Linked DNA regions of Canis lupus familiaris. The protein of the gene in region 4 interacts with the protein of the main gene of each other region in a pairwise test. Links are inferred from orthologs where the notes say so. Each region holds a gene or a part of one and is shown on either strand. Other genes may lie near its edges.

What was found.
Region 1: the proteins of TRAF3IP1 (region 4) and SMC2 interact in a two-hybrid assay, tested with the Homo sapiens proteins (2 studies listed by BioGRID and IntAct). The link is inferred for Canis lupus familiaris from reciprocal best matches to the Homo sapiens genes TRAF3IP1 and SMC2.
Region 2: the proteins of TRAF3IP1 (region 4) and KIF5A interact in a two-hybrid assay, tested with the Homo sapiens proteins (2 studies listed by IntAct). The link is inferred for Canis lupus familiaris from reciprocal best matches to the Homo sapiens genes TRAF3IP1 and KIF5A.
Region 3: the proteins of TRAF3IP1 (region 4) and SMC3 interact in a two-hybrid assay, tested with the Homo sapiens proteins (2 studies listed by BioGRID and IntAct). The link is inferred for Canis lupus familiaris from reciprocal best matches to the Homo sapiens genes TRAF3IP1 and SMC3.

Annotation. Positions count from the first base shown.
Region 1 is NC_049232.1:60,449,955-60,455,181, reverse strand, and holds part of SMC2 (structural maintenance of chromosomes protein 2), read right to left. Parts: intron 3,209-5,227; coding exon 3,086-3,208; intron 1,680-3,085; coding exon 1,641-1,679; intron 1-1,640. UniProt on the Homo sapiens protein: Central component of the condensin complex, a complex required for conversion of interphase chromatin into mitotic-like condense chromosomes.
Region 2 is NC_049231.1:2,000,162-2,005,388, reverse strand, and holds part of KIF5A (kinesin heavy chain), read right to left. Parts: intron 2,414-5,227; coding exon 2,326-2,413; intron 2,216-2,325; coding exon 2,142-2,215; intron 1,745-2,141; coding exon 1,640-1,744; intron 1,418-1,639; coding exon 1,369-1,417; intron 754-1,368; coding exon 698-753; intron 463-697; coding exon 375-462; intron 95-374; coding exon 1-94. UniProt on the Homo sapiens protein: Microtubule-dependent motor required for slow axonal transport of neurofilament proteins (NFH, NFM and NFL). Can induce formation of neurite-like membrane protrusions in non-neuronal cells in a ZFYVE27-dependent manner.
Region 3 is NC_049249.1:22,130,379-22,135,605, reverse strand, and holds part of SMC3 (structural maintenance of chromosomes protein 3), read right to left. Parts: coding exon 5,064-5,227; intron 4,051-5,063; coding exon 3,970-4,050; intron 3,744-3,969; coding exon 3,579-3,743; intron 3,277-3,578; coding exon 3,155-3,276; intron 1,824-3,154; coding exon 1,610-1,823; intron 1-1,609. UniProt on the Homo sapiens protein: Central component of cohesin, a complex required for chromosome cohesion during the cell cycle. The cohesin complex may form a large proteinaceous ring within which sister chromatids can be trapped.
Region 4 is NC_049246.1:49,086,329-49,091,555, reverse strand, and holds part of TRAF3IP1 (TRAF3-interacting protein 1), read right to left. Parts: intron 3,426-5,227; coding exon 3,349-3,425; intron 2,053-3,348; coding exon 1,993-2,052; intron 1-1,992.

The DNA.
Region 1 (5,227 bases), on a different chromosome or scaffold from region 4:
ATGAGCAGGAGAAAATAGTTGTAAATCACAAATCTGCTACGGGTCTAACATAGAAATACATGAAGAATTTGTATATACAACTCAAAAGAAGAAAAACCAAACAATTCAATTTAAAAACGGAGAGAGGATGTGAACACACAGTTTTTCACAGAAGACATACACAGATGGCCAATGTGTATGTGAAAGGTACTCAGCATCACTAATCATCTAGGAAATGCAAATTAAAACCATGAGCTATTCCCTCTGTTGGAATGGCTATTATCACAAAGACAAGAAATATCAAGTGTTGGTGATGCTATGGGGAAAGGGAAACCTTTACATATTGTTGGCAGGTAGGAATGTAAGTTGGGTGCAGTCATTATAGGAAACTATGAAGGTTCCTCAGAAAACTAAAAATATAACTACCATGTAATCCAGCAATTCCATTCTGGCTATTTATCCAAAGAAAACAAAGGTACTAACTTGAAAAGGTATCAGCACCCTCATTTACAATACCAAGACATGGAAACAACCTAAGTGTCCACTGACAGATAAATGAATAAAAAGATGTGACATATATACATATATACACAATGGCATATAATAAAGCTATTTAAAAAAGAATGCAATTTTGCTATTTGTGACAATGTGGATAGAATTTGAGGGCATTATGCTAAGTGAAATAAGTCAGAGAAAGACAAATACCATATAACCTATATGCGGAATCTAAAAAGAAAAAAAGAAAAAAAAAAACCCTGAGCTTATAGAGAACATATTCATGGTTACCAAAGATGGGAGTTAGTGGGTGGGCAAAATAGGTCCAGGTGAAAAGGTACAACCTCTCAGTTATAAAAGTCCTGGGGATATACATGGTAGTCACCATGTTACAGCATGAGGACCATAATTAATAATACTGTATTATATATTTGAAAGTTACTAGGAGAGTAAATCTTAAAAGTTATCCTAAGAAAAAGAAAATTGTAACTGGTTATGGATGTTAACTAGATTTGTAAGGATCATTTTGCAACATCTACATATGTTTAATCACTACATCGCATACCAACTAATATGCCACTTCTACCTCTATTAAAAAAAAAAAAAAAAAAAATATCTGCGCCCCAATGTCCCAGGCATTTTCTTATACATCCTCATTTAATCCTCAGAAAAGACATGAGGTATGGACTACTAACTCTAATTTATGGATAAAGAAACAAAGGATCAGAAGGGTTATGTTATACAACTTTAAAAAGGTGAAGTGGTAGGGCACCTGGGTGGCTCAGTAGTTGAGCATCTGCCTTTGGCTCAGGTCGTGACCCAGGACTCCTAGGATCAAGTCCTGCATCAGGCTCCCAAGGAGCCTGCTTCTCCCTCTACCTATGTCTCTGCTTCTCTGTCTGTCTCTCAAGAATAAATATAATCTTAAAAAAAAAAACAAACAAATAAAAAAATGGGTAGGGAGGTATAGCGCCAAATAGTTTTATTTTTTTTTTATTTTTTTATTTTTTTGCCAAATAGTTTTAAAAAAAAAATTCTTTACTAGCCACTTTTAAATCAATAATGTTTCTAAGAATTTTAATGGAAGAAATTTTTAAAAATTGATTTAAAAGATTAAAACACTATTCACAATTATAATTTTTACTGTCCACAAATAGCATCCTTACCTCTGGAGGTTTCATATTCAATACTTTGGTAATTCGGCCCTGAAAAATAAAATGGCAGTTACTATAATGATAAATTAATCACCTACCTAAAGGCATACATGTTTATCTTCACTGAAGCTGTTCCATCCTAATATACCAATCTTTAAGGAGTTCTTTCTTTAATCTACATGAAAAGATGTTTCTTTTATTATATTTGAGACCAAAGGTACCTTATAATTCCATAATTTTGCCAATTACCTTTTCACTTACCAGTGATATGGTTATTAAAAAATATGAAATTAACTCAGACCGTATTTCTGAGGCAACATTAATGATATAAAAGTGTCCAATAAGTATATAAATATATAAATTTTAGCATAATTGTTTAACACGTCTTTTTTTAAAGGCTACACTCCAAGATAATTTCTAGAAATAGACTGCACATTTGTGAGCCTCAAAAAGAATCGTAAAATCTTTTATTTCAATGCCAGAATATCGCTACCAAAAAAAAAAAAAAAAACAAGACAAAACCCCACTACCTAAGTCTCAGAGCATCATATTACTTAGGATTTAGATTATTTTTTTTAAAGATTTTATTTATTCATGATAGAAACAGAGAGAGAGAGGCAGAAACACAGACAGAGGGAGGAGAAGCAGGCTCCATTCAGGGAGCCTAAAGTGGGACTCCATCCCAGGAATCTGGGATCACCCGGAATCAAAGGCAGACGCTCAACCACTGAGCCACGCAGGCATCCCAAGGATTTAGATTCATTTAAAATAAATTTTAAGCTTTAAGGCTGTGATGTAGTAAAAATAAAGTTATTTTGGTCACATCAGGATCATGCCATTGACCTTGCGGATAAGTCGAGTGAGATAATATAAGGGCAAGAAAATATTAGCACTTATTTTTCATTTGAGTAAGTCTCTCAGGAAGGAAATTACTTAAAATTTAATATATATTTGAAATAATAAAATGCTTCAACCCAATACTCTGAAAGAATACATTATGACAATATACTTTAAATAATTCTTATAGGGGATCCCTGGGTGGCTCAGCGGTTTAGCACCTGCCTTCAGCCCAGAGCATGATCTTGGAGTCCCAGGATCGAGTCCCGCATCACGCTCCCTGCATGGAGCCTGCTTCTCCCTCTGTGTCTCTGCTTCTCTCTGTGTCTCTCATTAATAAATAAATAAAATCTTTAAAAATAAATAAATACATTCTTATAGTGACCATGTATTATTCTTGTAATAACAAAATAAGTCAAAGAAAATTACTTCTAGACATTCTTTAAACTTCAAATGTGTATGTTAGAATATATCAATACACATAACTAACACATACTTCTTAACAGGTACCCAAATACCAGTGCAACAGAAAATAAAAAATGGAAAAGCCAAAATGAAACACTTGTCCTATTAAAATAAACGATGTCAAAACTATTATATAAAGACCATAAACAAAATACCTGCATGATGAGAAAGTGAGGGTTGTTTACATTAAGGCCAACAGAACAGAAGAGATCTTGTACTCTGGAATTGTTTGCATTTACTCCATTGATTAAATATTTATTTCTACCACCAATAACCACCTAAAAGGGAAGTATTTTTAAAAATATAAATGAACACACGTATCTTGAACTAAAATGACAAATTCCCAAATATGTTTCACTTGTTTCTTCTGTCCAACAAATGGTAAATAAAACCAATCCTAAGTAAATAATGGAGGAAGTAGGAGGTGGTCAAAAGACTATAGATTGAATCAAGATAACCGACTTCTAATCCAAGGACTTTTGGATTATATAACCAAGCACAATCCTCCTAACCTCCCCTGCATTGGACTAGATCTCTAAGGTCACTTCTGACTTTGTTTTCAAGTACATGTGAAACGATATTCTTTTTTTTTTCTTTTAATAAATTTATTTTTTATTGGTGTTCAATTTGTCAACATACAGAATAACACCCAGTGCTCATCCCATCAAGTGCCCACCTCAGTGCCCACCACCCAGTCACCCCCACCCCCCGCTCACCTCCCCTTCCACCACCCCTAGTTCTTTTCTCAGAGTTAGGAGTCTTTCATATTCTACACATGATCATTCTCTGTAATTTTTCCACCCTCAGAGGTTAACCCTTCTTTCCTCCACTTTTTAATTTCCAAAGAACAGAACGTAGATACTAAAAACTAAAGACAAGCAGTTCTTTTTTAAGAGGAAAGGGAGAGACTCTTAAGCAGGCCTCATGCCCATCAGGGAGACCGACAAGGGGGCTCAATCTCCCAACTTTGAGATCACGACCCCTAATCAATAGTCAGATGCTTAACCGACTGGGCCACCCAAATGCCCCAAAGATAAGCAGTTTGATAACAATCCTTGAGAGATTCTAAAAGGAGTTAATAAAGACATGACTTTTGAATTCTTGAAAGAAAAAGAGTAACCATAGAGCTTCAAAGAACAACTTCTACCAGACACCAGCTTGTTCACACTGTACTATAGCCCTTATACTGTCACTTAATGGACATAATCATGTCATCCTCAGTATTTTGAGGTCCTTAAAAAGATGTTGCTCATTTTTCTCTCTGTATTTCCCAGTGCCTTTAAGAATGCCCAGCACACAGCAAACTACTGGATGAGTGTTAATTCATTTCTTTTCTTGACAGGAGTATTAAGCTAATAGATCATATATTAATATATTTAAACAAGAAATCTAGTATACATAAATATTTTTTAAAAATCCCTATAACAAAATTTTGGTGAAAATAAAGGCATATGGACTGCATGAGGACAGGAATTTTAGGTAGATTAGTAGAAGACTTATGAAAATTCCTAAAAGGTATCTGATGGATGCTTAATGACACAGAACAGGATTTTATCCCAACCTAGTCAATGCCTTATTTTTTCTTAAGGTTTTTATTAAAAAAGAAAGCAGAATCTACAAGCTACATAATGCTAACATAGAGAGTAAACAGGACTTAACAGAATTTTTAAAAATAAAACTGACAAAGGAACATTGTATGACTATAACAAGATAAAGGGACAAAGGTCTGGTCCTGCACTGGTTTCAAAAACCTTCTTACAAATAGAAATGGTAGTAACACAGCTAATACACATTTTAAAAATTACGGTGATTTTTAAGTAAGTTGGATATGAATTCATAATGTATTTTGAACTCTCCAATGTCATATAGGGGAAAAGAGAATCGCACTTAAAATGAAGTGACAATTCTGCTTAATCCTGTCCTAAGGAGACTAATCCTCGTAAATGCAATTTAAGGCGCCATGCATGAAATAAAGGCAAAAAAAACCTAGCGCAAATTTGTATTCAGTGGAATCAGACAAGTGAAGGAAATAGAAACAATTTTATCAGTTGAAAGACCTAGAAAGATTTAGCTTAAATATTTAACACCTCAATATTAAACCGAAATATTAAAATATGGATTATGATCTCAAAGAACCAGATTTAATATGTAAAACTTGATGATAATACTTTGGCTCACTTTATAGAAATAACTTTTTAATTAGACCTGCCCAATAACAGAGTAGATTACCTCAGAAGGTAACAAGATCCCAAGTATAGGTATCCCAGCAGAGAAGACTCAAATACCGTTCAAGATTT
Region 2 (5,227 bases), on a different chromosome or scaffold from region 4:
AGCTTCCCACTGAGCTTCTGCTCGGTCTCCATGTTCTCCTGCTTGATGTTGATAAGGAAGATGCTGTGGCTCCGAGAGCTGTGTTCATTCATGTCTGCAGGACCAAGGGAGAAGCGGTCCCTGTACTAACACCTATGGAGCCGAAGCCCTCACCCCCCAGCTTCCACTGACACTGGCCAACCCAGAGAGAGGGGGCACCTGCCAGGACTAGCCCCGCCACTGTGTCTCCCAGGCAGCTGGGTGGCACACACAGTAATAGCCTCTTCTTCTGGAGGACACAGTCTTCCCTTGCTCACTTCTATTCCCTCAGCTCCCAGAGGACACAGACAAGCACCAGACTCCCAGGTGCAAGAGCCCCTTATATCCCCACTCACTGGTGACGGCCACATGACGATTTGATTTCCCCTCGTCAATCACATCTAAAATCTCCTCTGGGCTGGACACAAAGCGTTCAGTACAACCCTGCAGGGTTCAAAGGGAGAGTGACCCATAAACGGCAATCTGCAAATTATATTACCTGAAAACTGATCAGATGACCTTTTAAGAATGTCTTTTCCAAGCCCTCAGACTCTCCCCAGCCCCTCGGCACATCTCACTCCTCCAAAACATCTGCCCTCCAGCTTCTGGGCCTCTGGCCTACCCTCCTGTACTCTTAGTACAGTGACCCACACCCAGGTACCCCTGTCCCCACACTCACCTTGACAAATGGCACCCGATTCTTGTCCTCATGCACAGACAGATTTGTCTTGGTCACTGAATCAAAACAATGCAGAGTAAGCAAGGCTAGCACTTCCACCCCCAACCCCGTACCCTATAGTCTGCTGAGACAGTGGTTTCTTCTACATGCAAAAAAGAAGCCCTCTCCTGGGTGGTGCAGTTGGTTAAGCATCCAACTCTTGATTTCGGTTCAGGTTATGATCTCAGGGTTATGAGATCGAGCCCCATTTCAGGCTCTGCACTCAGTGCGGAGTCTGTTTGTCTGTCTCCCTTTGCTGCCCCCCCTACCCCCAACTTGTGTCCTCTCTCCCTCTCCCTCTTTCAAACAAACAAACAAATAAATTAAATTTTTAAAAAGGAGAAAGACTTTCCCATCAAGCTTAAATCCCCACACCCTGAAAGCTTAAATTTCTCCTCCTCCAGGATTCTAGCCTTAAGGTTCCAGCTGGTCTCAGGGTGTTTCTATATAGGCCTAGGTATTTCAGCTCATCTTCTGACCCTTTTTGCTTTTAGAAATTTTGGTGAATGGAGGCAAGGGACAGGGGTATGAGTGTGTGATTCCTCTGCATCTCTTGCCAAGAACAATGTGATCTTTCTTTTCCTTGCTCTCCTCCCACCCCTGCCCATCCAATGGGGCTAAACACCACTCACCATCCAGAAGGTCGCGAATTTTGTCCAGGTAAATCTCAAAGTAAGAAACCTGGTCAGGGAGAAAGTGAAGAGGGCCTATCATAAGTCTGATATAGGGATCTCAAGTGAATGTGACCCACTCAACCAGTAGGAGGAAGAGAAATAGAGCAGAAGAACTGTGGTAAGCAGGGCAGGAAAATAAGTTGGGGTGCCCAGGTTCTCAATGAGTTCATACTAGCTCTTCTCCTCCTAGTCCCTCTCTGACGACACCCAGCTGTTAAACCGTGATCACCTTGATATGGAACTCCAGGTTCTCATCCATGGAGTAGATGTGATTGAAGATGTCTCGGGCAATTCGAGGAATGATTCCCATCAGCTGGGGGTCATGCAGCTTTCCCTGGAGAGGAAGAGTATCTGAGACTGAGACTGGAACTCAAAACAATGAGGCCACCCAAGAGGTCAACAGGTGAACATGAAGGTGATAGTTGATGAGAGGATCATCTGAAGGTACAAGGCAGTCACTGCCATGTCTACCGAGAACAAGGAGAGAACTGAGGGTCCCTTTGGACCTTTATTGCAGCTGCTTTTCTGGATCAAAAGAAGCAAACTGGAGTAGTGGAAAGGATGGGAAACTGCAGCAGGCTAGAGGGATTTCACCAAGCTTCCATTATAATCCTGCCCCTCAGTTCATCCTCCAGACCAAGCAAGCTTGATTCCTAGATCTTGCCTGAGATTCCTTGGCCTCTCATTAACACTCACAGTTCCTCACCCCTCATGAAAGTCAGAGCCCTCACCTCCATGGTATGTGTTTTCCCTGAGGATGTCTGTCCATAAGCAAAAATGGTGCCATTGTAGCCAGCAAGGACATCTGGAAGACATAGCCAAGAAAGAGCATTGGTGGAAAGAAGTGGAGTAGGGAATGGGGAACCAGAAAATATACATTCTAAAAATACATCTTACAAAGATAATACATGCTACCTTTGACAATCTGCATGGCACACGCATGATAAACTTGCTCCTGAGTCGTGTTTGGGGGGAACACACGGTCAAAGACATATGGCTTCCCCTAGAATGGAAATAAAACATGGCAGACATCAGGAGTCAGGAAATGAGGAAGAAGAAATGCTGCAGCCCCCTTCCATTAGCCTGAGAAGGTACCTGTTTTTCAGCCATCTATATCCACGGACAGTTTGGGGCGGGGGGGGGGGGGGGGGGGGGGGGCGGGATGAAGGAAACCAGACAAAGAGGAGCAAAAGTTGGTGCTGACACCAGGAGCTGTTCCTGTGCGCTAGAGAGCACCATTGAGAAGTGTCACAGCCTCAGACTGTGTGAGGGGATCTCAGTCTTGGTGTGATGACTTAGTACTGCACCACTCCAGGCCTTTCCCTGGGAAACCAATGGGAAAAGACAGTAGGGCCGCAGGCCGTGAAGAGTGAAAGACAATTCATTAACATTAAAAATCTACCTCTAGGTTTAAAAATATCTTCCTCAATAGATGCATATGTCCTGATGCGGACGAATCTTCAAGATGCATTAAATGAAAGATGCAAAGTTAGGGGCACATGTCGGTTATGTTCCCTATTGTGTAAATGAAATACAGGTACACCAAGATGCTGAGCTGTTGTTCAAACATTAACACAAGCTCTCTCTCCGTGAAAGAAATATATGAAATCAGAATCATGGGCCTCCTTTTAGCAAAGAGATACTGAAACAAATTACTGACCTACAAGTACTTTGTTTCATTTAGGTTATGTTACAAATCATGTGCTAACAAGCATGCTAAAGATACAAAATATTTAAAACCTGGGGAACCAAACAAAGAATATATTCACTATGTAATCATACTAAAGTGCAGATCTCTGGTAAGATTTTTTTTCTGGTAAGATTAAATAAGACTATGCTTGTTCTCCATCACAAATGACAAATTTCTCAGTCATGTTTTCCTGCCATTCAGTATAAAGAGATTATGACTTAGTTGTCAAGTTGTTTTACTATAGACCCCATCTTTATCCAACTGAAATGTAAAGCTCCTAGGTCTATGGTCACCAGAGTTGGGGAGACATGTTTCAACTAATTAAGGAAGTCATAAAATTTTAATTGGTCAGAGCTGGAGATAACGGCTCTAGGAATATTCATAATATTCCATCTATACATAGAACTTTTTTCTAGAAGGAATTATACAAAAAATGTTAACAATGATTACTTTGAAGAGAGACAAGTCTTTTATTTTACATTTTTTAAAATTTTTATTTATTTATGATAGTCACACAGAGAGAGAGAGAGAGAGAGAGAGAGAGAGGCAGAGACACAGGCAGAGGGAGAAGCAGGCTCCATGCACCGGGAGCCTGATGTGGGACTCGATCTCGGGTCTCCAGGATCGCGCCCTGGGCCAAAGGCAGGCGCTAAACCGCTGCGCCACCCAGGGATCCCTTATTTTACATTTTGTATCTTGGCTTGCATATATATGTGTGTGTGTATACACACACACACACATTTTAAAAGATTTTATTTATTTATTCATGAGAGACACAGAGAGAGACAAGCAGAGACACAGGCAGAGGGAGAAGCAGGCTCCATGCAGAAGCCAAATATGGGATTTGATCCCGGGATGCCAGGATCACACCCTGATTCAAAGGCAGATGCTCAACACCGAGCCACCCAGGTGTCCCACTTACATATATTTTTAAATTTTTAAGTTTTATTTTACTTAATAATCTCTACATCCAAGGGGGGGCTCAAACTCACAGCCTCGAAATGAAGAATTGCATGCTCTTCTGACCAAGCCAGCCAGTGCCCTTGGATTGTTTCTATTTTTAAACCATGTACAAGTATTTTTTCTTAATTTCTTAATGTGTGTTTCATTTTGTTTCCTTTGTTTTACTTCGTTGCATAAAGGAAAACTAGTAGATATATTTTTTTAATATTTAAGAGATTTGAAAAGTCTGGCTTATGGGGAAAAAAAAATCTACCTGAAATATTTGTCTGATCTCTCTTTGGTAAAAGCCTTTGAAACCCCAAAACCGGAATCCACAAAGAGAAATAAGTTGTGAAGATGCTCTCCAATGGAGGGAGTACTGTAAACTGATAGAGTCTTTCTGGAGGACAATTCTATTAAATATTTAAATGTCCATTCTGTTTGTACTCTGTATCAGTGAGTCCAGTGCTAGGAATTCATTTTACAGCCCTTACTCAAGCACTTAAAGATCTATGTAGAAGGATGTTCAATCTGTATTAAAGTAAAACTAGAAATAATTCAAACACTCATTAACAAGATGTTGGTTATGATAGTTCCATATTCTACTCCCATTAAAAAGAGTTAGGGTGGTTTACATGTTCTGACATGTTCAAGCTCAATTTAGTGAAAAAGTAAAAACAGTGTGTGTAAAGTGATTATATCTTTTTAAAAGCATATGGACAGAATAGCCTTAGAAAAAGGAAATGGAAGGCTGTATAGAGACCTGCTAATGGTGGTTATCACTTGAGAGCAGAATAACAGTAGCTTACGCCTGCAATACTTTTCTGTGATATTTAAATGTCTTACAGTGACAACATATCATTTTTAAATTTAAAAATGTAAAATGTTATAGATGATGTCATAAGATAATATGTAATGACAAGACAAGGTATACACAAAATACTGTCAGGCAAAAAAGTAGTTTTTAAAATACTATGCAGGGACGCTTGGATAGCTCAGTGGTTAAGCATCTGCCTTCTGGCTCAGGGCGTGATGCTGGAGTCCTGGGGATCGAGTCCCACATCAGGCTCCCTGCAGGGAGCCTGCTTCTCCCTCTGCCTATGTCTCTGCTTCTCTCTGTGTCTCTCATGAATAAATAAATAGAATCTTCAAAAAATACTATGCAAAGGGATCTCTGGGTGGCGC
Region 3 (5,227 bases), on a different chromosome or scaffold from region 4:
CACAGCTGAAACTATATGAATCAATTTCCAAGTAACTAAACTATCTGGATCAACCTGTGTTTTCCATTCCCTCCATAAAACATCCTGACCAAAGCACACTGGACTCTTGAAGCTAGAAGACTATTGTCTATTACTCCTGGTCACTCTTCTACCAGTTATTTACGATTACAGAGCAAATTGTGTTTGCTCACCACTGTTTTTGTTTTTTGTTTATGCTCTGATTGTGTTAAATATTAAACAGACTATGAAGACAAAGCAAAGAGCGGTTTCTCTAAAAACTTGATTTAGTTTTGCACAAAGGTGACTCACTAAAAACTGAATTTAATAGGGAAATCAACTCTAAAAGACTCGAGAGAAATAACATAATACATAAAAACACGTATTAATATGTAATATGTACTTTATTAACAAAATACAGTAATTCAAAATGTCAAATCACAAAGTTAGACTAGGGAACTGATCCAGATTACAAAAGATAACAGAAATATGACAACTAAATATAATATATGACCCTAGATTGAATCTTGGAAGTTTCATTCAGCTCTAAGGAGAACTATACTTACATGCGTGGCTCGTAACAAAAAAGTCCCCTGGAAACTACTCATACTCAAAAGAAACATCTTGGGCTCTACATGAAAAGACTGGTATGAATTCTGGTGGGGGGGTACTGATAATGGGGGAAGCTATGCATTTGTGGGGGTACAAGATATATAGGAAACTTCTGTATCTTCCTCCCAATTTTGCTGTGAACCCAACACTGCTCTTAAAAAATGAAAAGCCCAGTCCATGAGCATACCTTTATCTTTATAAGCAAAATAAGATATGTTATGTTTACATGTATATAAATAATATTTACTATTATACATAAAATTTTAATATACATCTTACCTATGTCAAGATTTTATGCATTTAGTGGCTTTTTGATAAACCAATAACCAACTGGTGCAGATCTCATAAGTTAACAGGGTTCCTCTGTGTAGATACATATAGAACATCCTCACCCTACACTTGTCCTACACACTCCCTTTCTCATCATTTCTATAGGCCTTCAATCACCTATATACAGCCACACATAACACTTACCATTTTCCCTCTTTCTCATTTTAAATAATGTGAGATCTTTCTTATTCTAGATGGGATTTTATCTTCTACTTCCATTTTTTAGAAAATGCTACCAAACATGCATAGTAGCTAATGTTTAATTCATTTAGAAAATCTTATAAAATCACCACTGCCTTAACAAAAAATATATTCTGTATAAGTTATTGACAGAGAACTGTGAAAGATTGTAAAAATGGAAAAAAATTTAAGTTACTCTGAAGTTATATTTTAGATTTATCATGTTAAAATTAAAGGTACTTCAGGAACATTCCACCAATTTATAAAAATATATTTTAAGATATACTCAATGTATACGAACTCTTATAGAGCTGGAAAAAAAACTACCATATAGATATTAAATTGGGCTAATCTTTTCTAAGTACCTGTTTTCTGTAAATTAAGAGTAGCAATGTAACTGTTCAACAAAGTAAAACTTAATGAAATAGGCAACATGTACATGTTTATGTCTTCTGAAAGGTTTTCACAAAGTAGCTATAAAAGCTCTTACATTATACTGCTCCAGGTTTTTCTCTTTATTTGCCTCAGTGTCCTCCAAATCCTTGTGGATAGCCGCAATCTGTCTTTTCTTGTCATTAATAGCCTGATCTAAAGACTTCAGTTCCTTTTTAATCCACTTATCTCTTTCTTCTTTTGATGTAAACTGGCTTCCTCGACCCTGCTTTGCATAAAGATCTGTTCTTTCCTGGGTAGCTTGGGCCAATCTATACAAGACAGAAGAAAAGAATGATTAAAAAAGAGATGAGAAAATAAATTTAAACTGCAATTGATATGTCAAGAGCACACAGAAACAATAGTCATTTTTAAAATTCCATTAAAAAAACAAAAGCAACTGGTATCTAATACAGCTCCTTGGACTAGTACTAAATAATATAAATTTCATTTTATTTTTAAAAAATATTTTATTTATTCACAAGAGACAGAGAGAGAAAGAGAGGCAGAGACACAGGCAGAGGGTGAAGCAGGCTCCATGCAGGGAGCCCAATGCAAGACTCGATCCCGGGACTCTGGGATCATGCCCTGAGCCAAAGGCTCAACCGCTGAGCCACCCAGGCGTCCCTATAAATTTTATTTTGAAAAGTCACATTTAAAGTCATGTAAAATAGCCCATATCCTAAGGATTTCAGGCACATAATGTCTTTATTTCTACTCCAGGTCTGGGTTAGTAAAGCTAGAGACAGTTCTAATATCCTACTACTCTCAGGAATTTTCAAAATGCATTTAACTATATAGACATTTCTAACTCCTTACAATAAATGATACTACCAAGGTTAAAAGGCAAGAGAAAGGGCAGCCCAGGTGGCACAGCGGTTTAGCGCTGCCTTTGACCCAGGGGGTGATCCTGGAGACCCGGGACTGAGTCCCGCATTGGACTTCTCCCTCTGTGTCTCTGCCTCTCTCTCTCTGTCTCTCTCATGAATAAATAAAGTCTTAAAAAAAAAAAAAAAAAAAAGGGCAAGAGAAAGACAAAACATTTACAATATATAGAATACTAGAATAAATACAGATTACAAACAACCCTAATCAAACAATAGGAAAAGTATCAGACAAAAATGGGCAAAGGAAATAATTTACTAAAACAGATACTGGTAGCATAAAAACATAATGCACTAAACCATGAAATCAGCAAAGTTGTCATGTTCAATTTACAGACACTAAAATGTCCAGATGTTAAAACAACAATGAAAAAAGGAAAAAGGGTGAAACAGAGCAAGATGTTATGTTGGTTTAATAAAAAAAAAAAAAAGAACAACAAATCCATGTTTTCAAAAGCCCAACATCTAGGCAAGTTATTTAACGTACCAGAGCCTTGAGTTTGTTGAACTTACACTGAGGATGTGAATCTCTTAGGGCTTCTGAGTGAAAAAAATGTATATGATGTATATACAGTAATGCTTGGCCCACAGTAGCTGTTTAACATAGACTATTACTTTGAAACTGGATTTAACTTTTGCTCTGTGTCTTAATTCATAACTATTTAGCTTTCACAGAAAAACTACATAGAAAGTTAGAAATGGTAAAAGAAATCCCAGACCTAGCAATTCCTCGCTCTTCTTTTTCTTTCACACTGTTGAATTTAGGTTCTGTTTCTGCCAGTTCTTTCTGCTTCTCTTCTATTTTTTCAAGTAGCTTCTGCCTCTCTTTTAATAAGCGTTTCTGTAAATAAAGCAGGGTAAGTAAAAATGCAATCTTAAAAATTTCTGCTTAAGTCTAGCATAAAATATTTTCTCATGAAAAAAAATTGATGAGAAAACTGATCCTGCAACACAAAACTAACTTTTAAATGAAAGAAACAGGACACAGTACTGAGCTGCTACATGAGTAGAAATTATTTTAATGTGCCAGATCTTTTTCAAAAATTTAAAATCATGTACCCCCATGACAGAAGGCATGGTCTTTTGCAATTCCTATTCAGCTTTAACATTTATAAGTCTTTCATTTTTAGCATTTTAACTTACCCTTTGTTCACTATTGCCTGCCAGTTCATCTTGTAAATCTTTGGCTTTAAGCTCCAACTTAGTCCTCTGCTTAATTTGTTCTTGCCTTTCAGCGCTGAGCTGCTCCTTTTCTTCTTTCATAGCTGAAATTTTTGTTTTCAATTCTCTAACTTGGCGCTCAATATCCTAGTCAAGTATCAAACAAATGAATCAAACAATTAGAAGTGGAACAGCAGAGTTTCTATTAGTTCTGTCCTTTTTTCCCTTCATTTACAAGTTCAGTACTATTCTGTCTTTCTAATACTCAATCCCAGTAACACCTGTTTGAAGTTTCCACTCCCTAATTCTGGTACAAAAGGATTTACTGTGGTCAAAAAATGTAAGTCAACATAAGCCTCGTTTATAATCTTACCTCCATCTTATCTCTTGCATCCTGCTGGGCATCTCTTAATTGTCTGGATTTTTCTCCACTAGTCTCTCGCTTAGCAGAAAGCTGAGGGGGACAAAAAGCTGTAAGTTCTAACTCACTTTGTATTTAATATGTCATAACGTAGCAGAATTTTAAAATATCTGCTAAAATAAAATCATTCACTTGAAGAGGCTTTTATTTATTATTTTTTTTTTTTTAGTAGTTTTAAATGGAAAGCTCCTATAGTTTTAAATATTACCTAAAACAAATTAACAAATTTTTGGACAAAAGGTTGGCAATACAAAAAAAAAAAAAAAAATCAGCAATACTAATTACAAAATACTTTTTTTTTAAGATTTTATTTATTCACGAGAGACACAGAGAGGCATAGGCAGAGGGAGAAACAACAAAAATACATACTAAAAAGCCCAAAAAAAATTCATGAAGCTTTTTTTTTTTTTAATTTTTATTTATTTATGATAGTCACACAGAGAGAGAGAGAGAGAGGCAGAGACACAGGCAGAAGGAGAGGCAGAGACACAGGCAGAGGGAGAAGCAGGCTCCATGCACCGGGAGCCTGACGTGGGATTCGATCCCGGGTCTCCAGGATCACGCCCTGGGCCAAAGGCAGGCGCTAAATCGCTGCGCCACCCAGGGATCCCCGAAGCTTTTTTTTTTTATAAAGTAAACTCCACCCCCAACATGGGGCTTAAACTCATGACCCTAGTACCAAGAGTCCCATATTCCACTGACTGAGCCAGCCAGGCACCCCTTCATGAAGCTTTTATTTTTTTTTCCTTTTTTTTTTTTTTCATGAAGCTTTTAAAGGTGGCTTCCCTCATCTTGGTTTGCACTGCACCACCACCTGATTATATTTCAGACACAACTATAGCAAGGACCATACAGGTCTAAGGACTTTCCTTGGAATAAACTGAACGAAACTGAACGAACAATTTTACTGACCAATGATTTCACTAAGAGGTTTAAAATTCTTTAAGTTTCTATTTAAAAATCATTGAAAAATAGAAATATAAAATGAGCTTAACATATAAAACAAACTAAAATCTCTCTGAATTTAAGTGACAAAGTTCTTTTACCTCATCAAGTTTAGCACGAGTCTCGTTAAGTTCCTGGTTGTAAATGGTATATTCCAAGGCTCGTCTCATTTTATCCCACTTCTGATACTGAGCTAGTTCTTCCTTTTCTTCCTCTAAGGTATGTAATCTCTCTTCAATGTATTTTAACAACTCATTGATTTTTT
Region 4 (5,227 bases):
TGACTTTGTAAAACATGAACAAAACAGTTCCCTGGAGAAAGGATGGGGAGGGCACGGCCCGGACATTGGTTTCTGCTCCCCCTCCCACAGCCAAGCTTCCTGCCCTGTGTGCAGCCCACATGTGGGAGATGTGCTGCTTCCAGAAACCCTCGGCCCCCAGCCAGGCAGCCAGCTTCCTCCGCTCACCCACGTGCCTTGCAAATATCATTTTCTGCACATGCCAGGCAGCGAGAAAATTTGGCAAACTCTAGTCTGTGTGGAACCCGATTGTTACCTAAGCAAACTGATGCCTGGAGTAAGGATTTCACTTCACTGTCCCTTATTGGCAAAGATCTGGCCAGTATCACCTAAGTGGAAGTAGTACGTACAACTTCCGAGAAATAGTCTAGAAGGAAAGAGGCATGTTCCTCTCTTTCTCTTCTTCCCCTTCCCTCCTTCCTGCTGGATGGACCTGGACAGCCTCCTTGGACCACGAGGTGCCCTAAGGCACAGGGTCACACATGGGCCACAACCACCTGCAGACTCTGAGTTGTGAGCTAAAGCACCTACCACCTCATTTAAGCCACTAATGCTGTAGATCTCTGAATTCCAAAAGAAATAGAAAAACGGAATATACCCATTCAAGAAACTGACTTGTAAAGCAAAGAGAAAGGATTAGCTCAAATGATCAGAAAAGCTAGTAACACGGAGACTTCAATACTAAGAAAAGAGCCAAGAGAAGGAATCAGCAGTCACGACCGAATCATAATCAGCCATTAAGGAAATGCATATTAAACACAAAGAATGTGACTGTTCCAAGCACTGATGCGGACAGGAAAAAACCGAAACTCTCACAGGCCGTGGTGAAAACATAAGTGGTACAACCACTTTGGAAAACACTGGGCAGTTTCTTGGAAAGATCAATATACGCTGACTATGTGAGCCAGCGGTCTTGCTCCTCGGTATTTACCCAAAGGAATCAAAGTGTTTGTCCACGTGGAACTCGTACGTGAATGTTCTCCACAGTTTTACCTGCAAGAGACCCAAACTAGAAATGACCCAAACACTCATGACCTGACAGATGGATACACACACTGTGGTGCATCCAGACAGTGCACTACCCAGCAATAAAAAGAAATGAACTGTTGATGCCTGCTGAAAAACAGATCTCAAAATAATTGTGATGACTGAAAGAAGCCAGGCCAAGCAGGAGCACATGCCCTCTGACTCCACTCAACTGCAGTTCTGGGAAACACCAACCACAGTGGCCAAATGCAGAGGAGCAGCTGCTGGGCCCTGGCGGGAGGTGGCTGGGAGGGACCCCATAGGCCTGCAGGGCATGGGCCACTGCAGGGTGGGGTGGGGAGGGGGATGCACAAGTTGACCATGCTGCCTGTGGACGGTGCACACGTGGAAGACTCTTGTTCCACTGGGACAGTACCTGGGGACAGCCACTTAGAGGACTAATTTGGCAGCACCTGGTGAAATCGAAGCTCTGTACGTGCTCTGGCACAGCAATTCTGAGCGTGGACACAGACTCTAAAGCAGGATCGCAAACTCCAGCCCCAGGCTGGGTCCTGTTGTTGTGAATAAAGCTTTACTGGAACACAGCCACACACATGGTTTACTGCTGTCTACACCAGGGCTGCTTTCAGGCTACATCAGCAGAGCTGAGAAGCTGCAACAGACTGTACGCGGCTCATCAGCCTAAAATATTTACTATCTGGCCCTTCTCAGAAAATGTTTGCCGACTGGTGCTCCGAGAGACACTGGCATCTGCATGCCAGGAGACACATGAAAGGAGTTCGTCAGAGTTTATAACTGTGGAAGGCTGACGAAACCTATGTCCACCATTAAAGGAATTAACGAACAAATACTGGAATACCAGTCATCAATTAAGACGACTGAACTAGACCCCCAGGTATCCACACAGGGAGGGTCTCAGAACTTAATGGTGCCCAAAGAAAGCAATCTGCGTCACATGCCAGCAACAGGGCAGCACTGAAAACTCACCCGAGCAGAGGCAGCTGCGTTTAAAGTATGGCTCACACCAAGTTCGTCCCTGTGGCTGCCCTACGGACAGTGGGGTTGGGGCAGAGGCAGAAAAAACATCAACTTTTCCTGTACGTTTCAATTGCTTTTATTTTAAAACTCTAAGCTCTTTTCAGAAGACCAATCAGTGAAATTTAAATCTGATGTTTATGAGCGTACTACGGAAAACAGAGCAGAGCAGCCTCCTTGTTCCCTGTCTGCAATACACATCACCCCGATTCTGAAGCACTTATTAGCTGTACTTTTCTAAAGCAGCAAATGTTCACCACTCAAGGACATTTTTCCCTTTTATCTTCTAAAGTCAAAGTATGTACTCTGAAATTTACTCTTCAGACGAAAGCCTAAAGCACAGACCTTGTGTGCATCGCATAGCAAACAGGGCTATAAAATTTAAACCAACTGAAGCTTCAAAGGTTGCCTACATTAACAGCCTGGAGGGACACACTCACGGTTTCCGACTGGGTCCCAGAAACACTGCCAGGGACACCAGGACAGCCCCTCGGGCCTGTGAAAAGGCCTATGACATGAAAATTTCACAGCACAGACAATGGACCACAGAAAGACCATTCTTCTTTCAGAGGAGCCAACGGTGCTGCCGTGGATAGAGCCCCGGGGAGCACTCTTCTCCTGGGACTGTTCCGGGGCCCCCCTGAGGTGGCTATCAACTGCAGAGTCCCCTCCCTGCTGTTTCAAGCCACATCGTCATTACAAACCCGGACATCTGAGGCAGAATTATCTGTGCATGTGTGTAAAACTTCCTGGAATTGTTGGCTGCTGCTGAAACTATCCAAGAAACATCTTTCTGTTACAAAACCAGTAAGTGAAGATACATTCTTATTTTTTAAAGTGACTATAACAGAAACGTAGCTGTGACATTTGAGGCCTACTATGTGGCTGGCAAGTATTTGCCCCAGGGTCATATGCTCAGGGGCGGTGGCTGGCCAGGAGCTGCGGGTCCCAACAAACAACATCCCACAGCTGCAAGAAAGACAGCTGGCAGGCCAGGGATAAGCAGCACCTGGATTTAAAAGCCAGACTTGAAAACTCCCTGGTCTCTTAGTGTGGAGGCAGCCAGGGCCAGGCGGCCAGCCTCCCGACTCTGCAAGCAGGGAGAGGGACTGGACGAGGCAGGAAGGGGACAGCCACGGGATCAGAGCAGAACAGGCCCTTGGCCTTGATTCCTGAGCCCCCACCCAGGACACGCCAGAGGAGCCCAGAATTTTCTATCCTCCCAACCAAGGAGGAGGTGGAGCGGGGAGCTTTAAAGTGTGTCAGCGGACTCTGCTGATGAGCACATTTGCAGGCATCACTTCTTACCTTCTCTCCAGGTCTGGGTGACCGCTGTAACTTCTCATAATCTTTCTTGGTCTCCAGAATTTTTTTCACAAGTCCTCCTGTTGAGAATCAGTGATTTTATGTTATTCTCTAAAGAGCTCTTCTATTCTAAATGGGCAGAGGGGAGGCAAGAACACTAGTTTCTTGTTTTTCCTCTTTCTATCTATATTCTACATGGCTTCAAATCATCTTTATTTGCTTGGAGTCTACAATAGTCTAATACAGCTGGTGGTAGAAATTAACTATAAAACTTCAGAGTGAAAAAAAAAAAAACTTCAGAGTGTTTCAAAGAAATCAGCTCCTCAAAGGTAAAAAAAAAAAAAAAAAAACATTGGAAACAGAAAAGAATTATGAGGACACGTAGATGGACATTCAAACATATAGCCACCTTGCCACAAACAGGTGTGCCAACTCTGAGCTGTTTCTAAGCACAAATACTCCTTTTATATTAGTTCAAGAGCCTTCAACTTCCTTTAAAAAAAAAAAAAATTGCCCATGGGGGTAAATATCATACAAAACATTTTCTTTAGAATACTGTCTCATGCAAATGCACATCCATATGAAATTGGCTGCATACGCCCCGAAGCACCCGGATGGCAGAGGAGGGCTCAGCTGTGAGCAGCAGTGAGGATGACTTGTCTGCGCTGCTCGGGGACGAACGCCAACACACGATGCCAAGTCACAACAGCAAGACAGAGACACGCAGATACTGCTAAATGCACACACACACTCCAGGCACATGTACTAACTTACAGTTTTTTAAATCAAAGTATAAGCCATATGTCTTACCATTACCTACAGGGAGAGGGCAGGTGGAGGCCCCAATCTCAGAATATACATTGTTTGGTACATTTCACCTCAGAAATGTATTATTTTACATAAATAAAATCAGATTTTTCAATGCCTAAAAATTGAAACCAAAATGAAACTAATACACCTAATAATATCAAACTGGCAAGCACAGCCTAACAAAGAATTGCTTTGTAACTTTGCAACAGAGTGGTTGGCTGTCCATCCCTGATGGGACATAACCTGAGAACAGACAGACCTGACCTCCCAAGAAACACCCGATAGTGTTTTCAGTCATTGTTGTTGCTAGTGACCGGTGGTGGTGGTCTAAAGATGCCGTGTGCATGCCATAGGGTAAGGCAAACAGATGGCGACGTTGGGAGCCAGGATTTGGGGCATGAGATAGACACGTACGTATAATATCAAAAATTTAGGAAAGACTCTAGTATAGTAAAGCTGCGTTGGAAATACCAGTATGAACTTGGATATATTTTCTCATTAGAAAAAAAAAGGCAAGAAAACCCCTGAAAACAATGACCAACCCAGAAGCAACACGCAGCCAGGCTCCTTGGGGAAATGGAGGGTTCCAGCTATGGGGCAGGAAATACACAAAATGAGCCTGAAACATCTGGTCGTCTCAGAAAACAAGGAAGCTGCAAAGTCTCCTGGGATGTGTCAAAAGCCCCCAAAAACCACTCAAACAGGCTCCCTCGGTTACATATTGGACAATCTGAACATCAGTGAGAAAGGATTTGGCTTGAAGTGAGGCACATCAAATGTGCTAAAGGAAAACCCAGGACTTCATACAGGTAGGAGAGGTATCTACAGCCATCACCCCACAAGCCCTCCCTAGTCAGCTTGGACGGTGCCAGGACACAAACTCACTGGGAGGAAAACCCTCTCCCTAGGGGCTGCGCTTTGGGGCAGAGGTGGGGGAGGAAGCTCTGCACCACGGTGTCCTCCAGCTAAACCTCAAGGAAGGGAGGGTAGGACGAGAACGTGACCCTTAATGATCCAGGCTAACGTCACGAACAGACGTCAGGAAGAACCAACACCACTGACCAGCATTCCT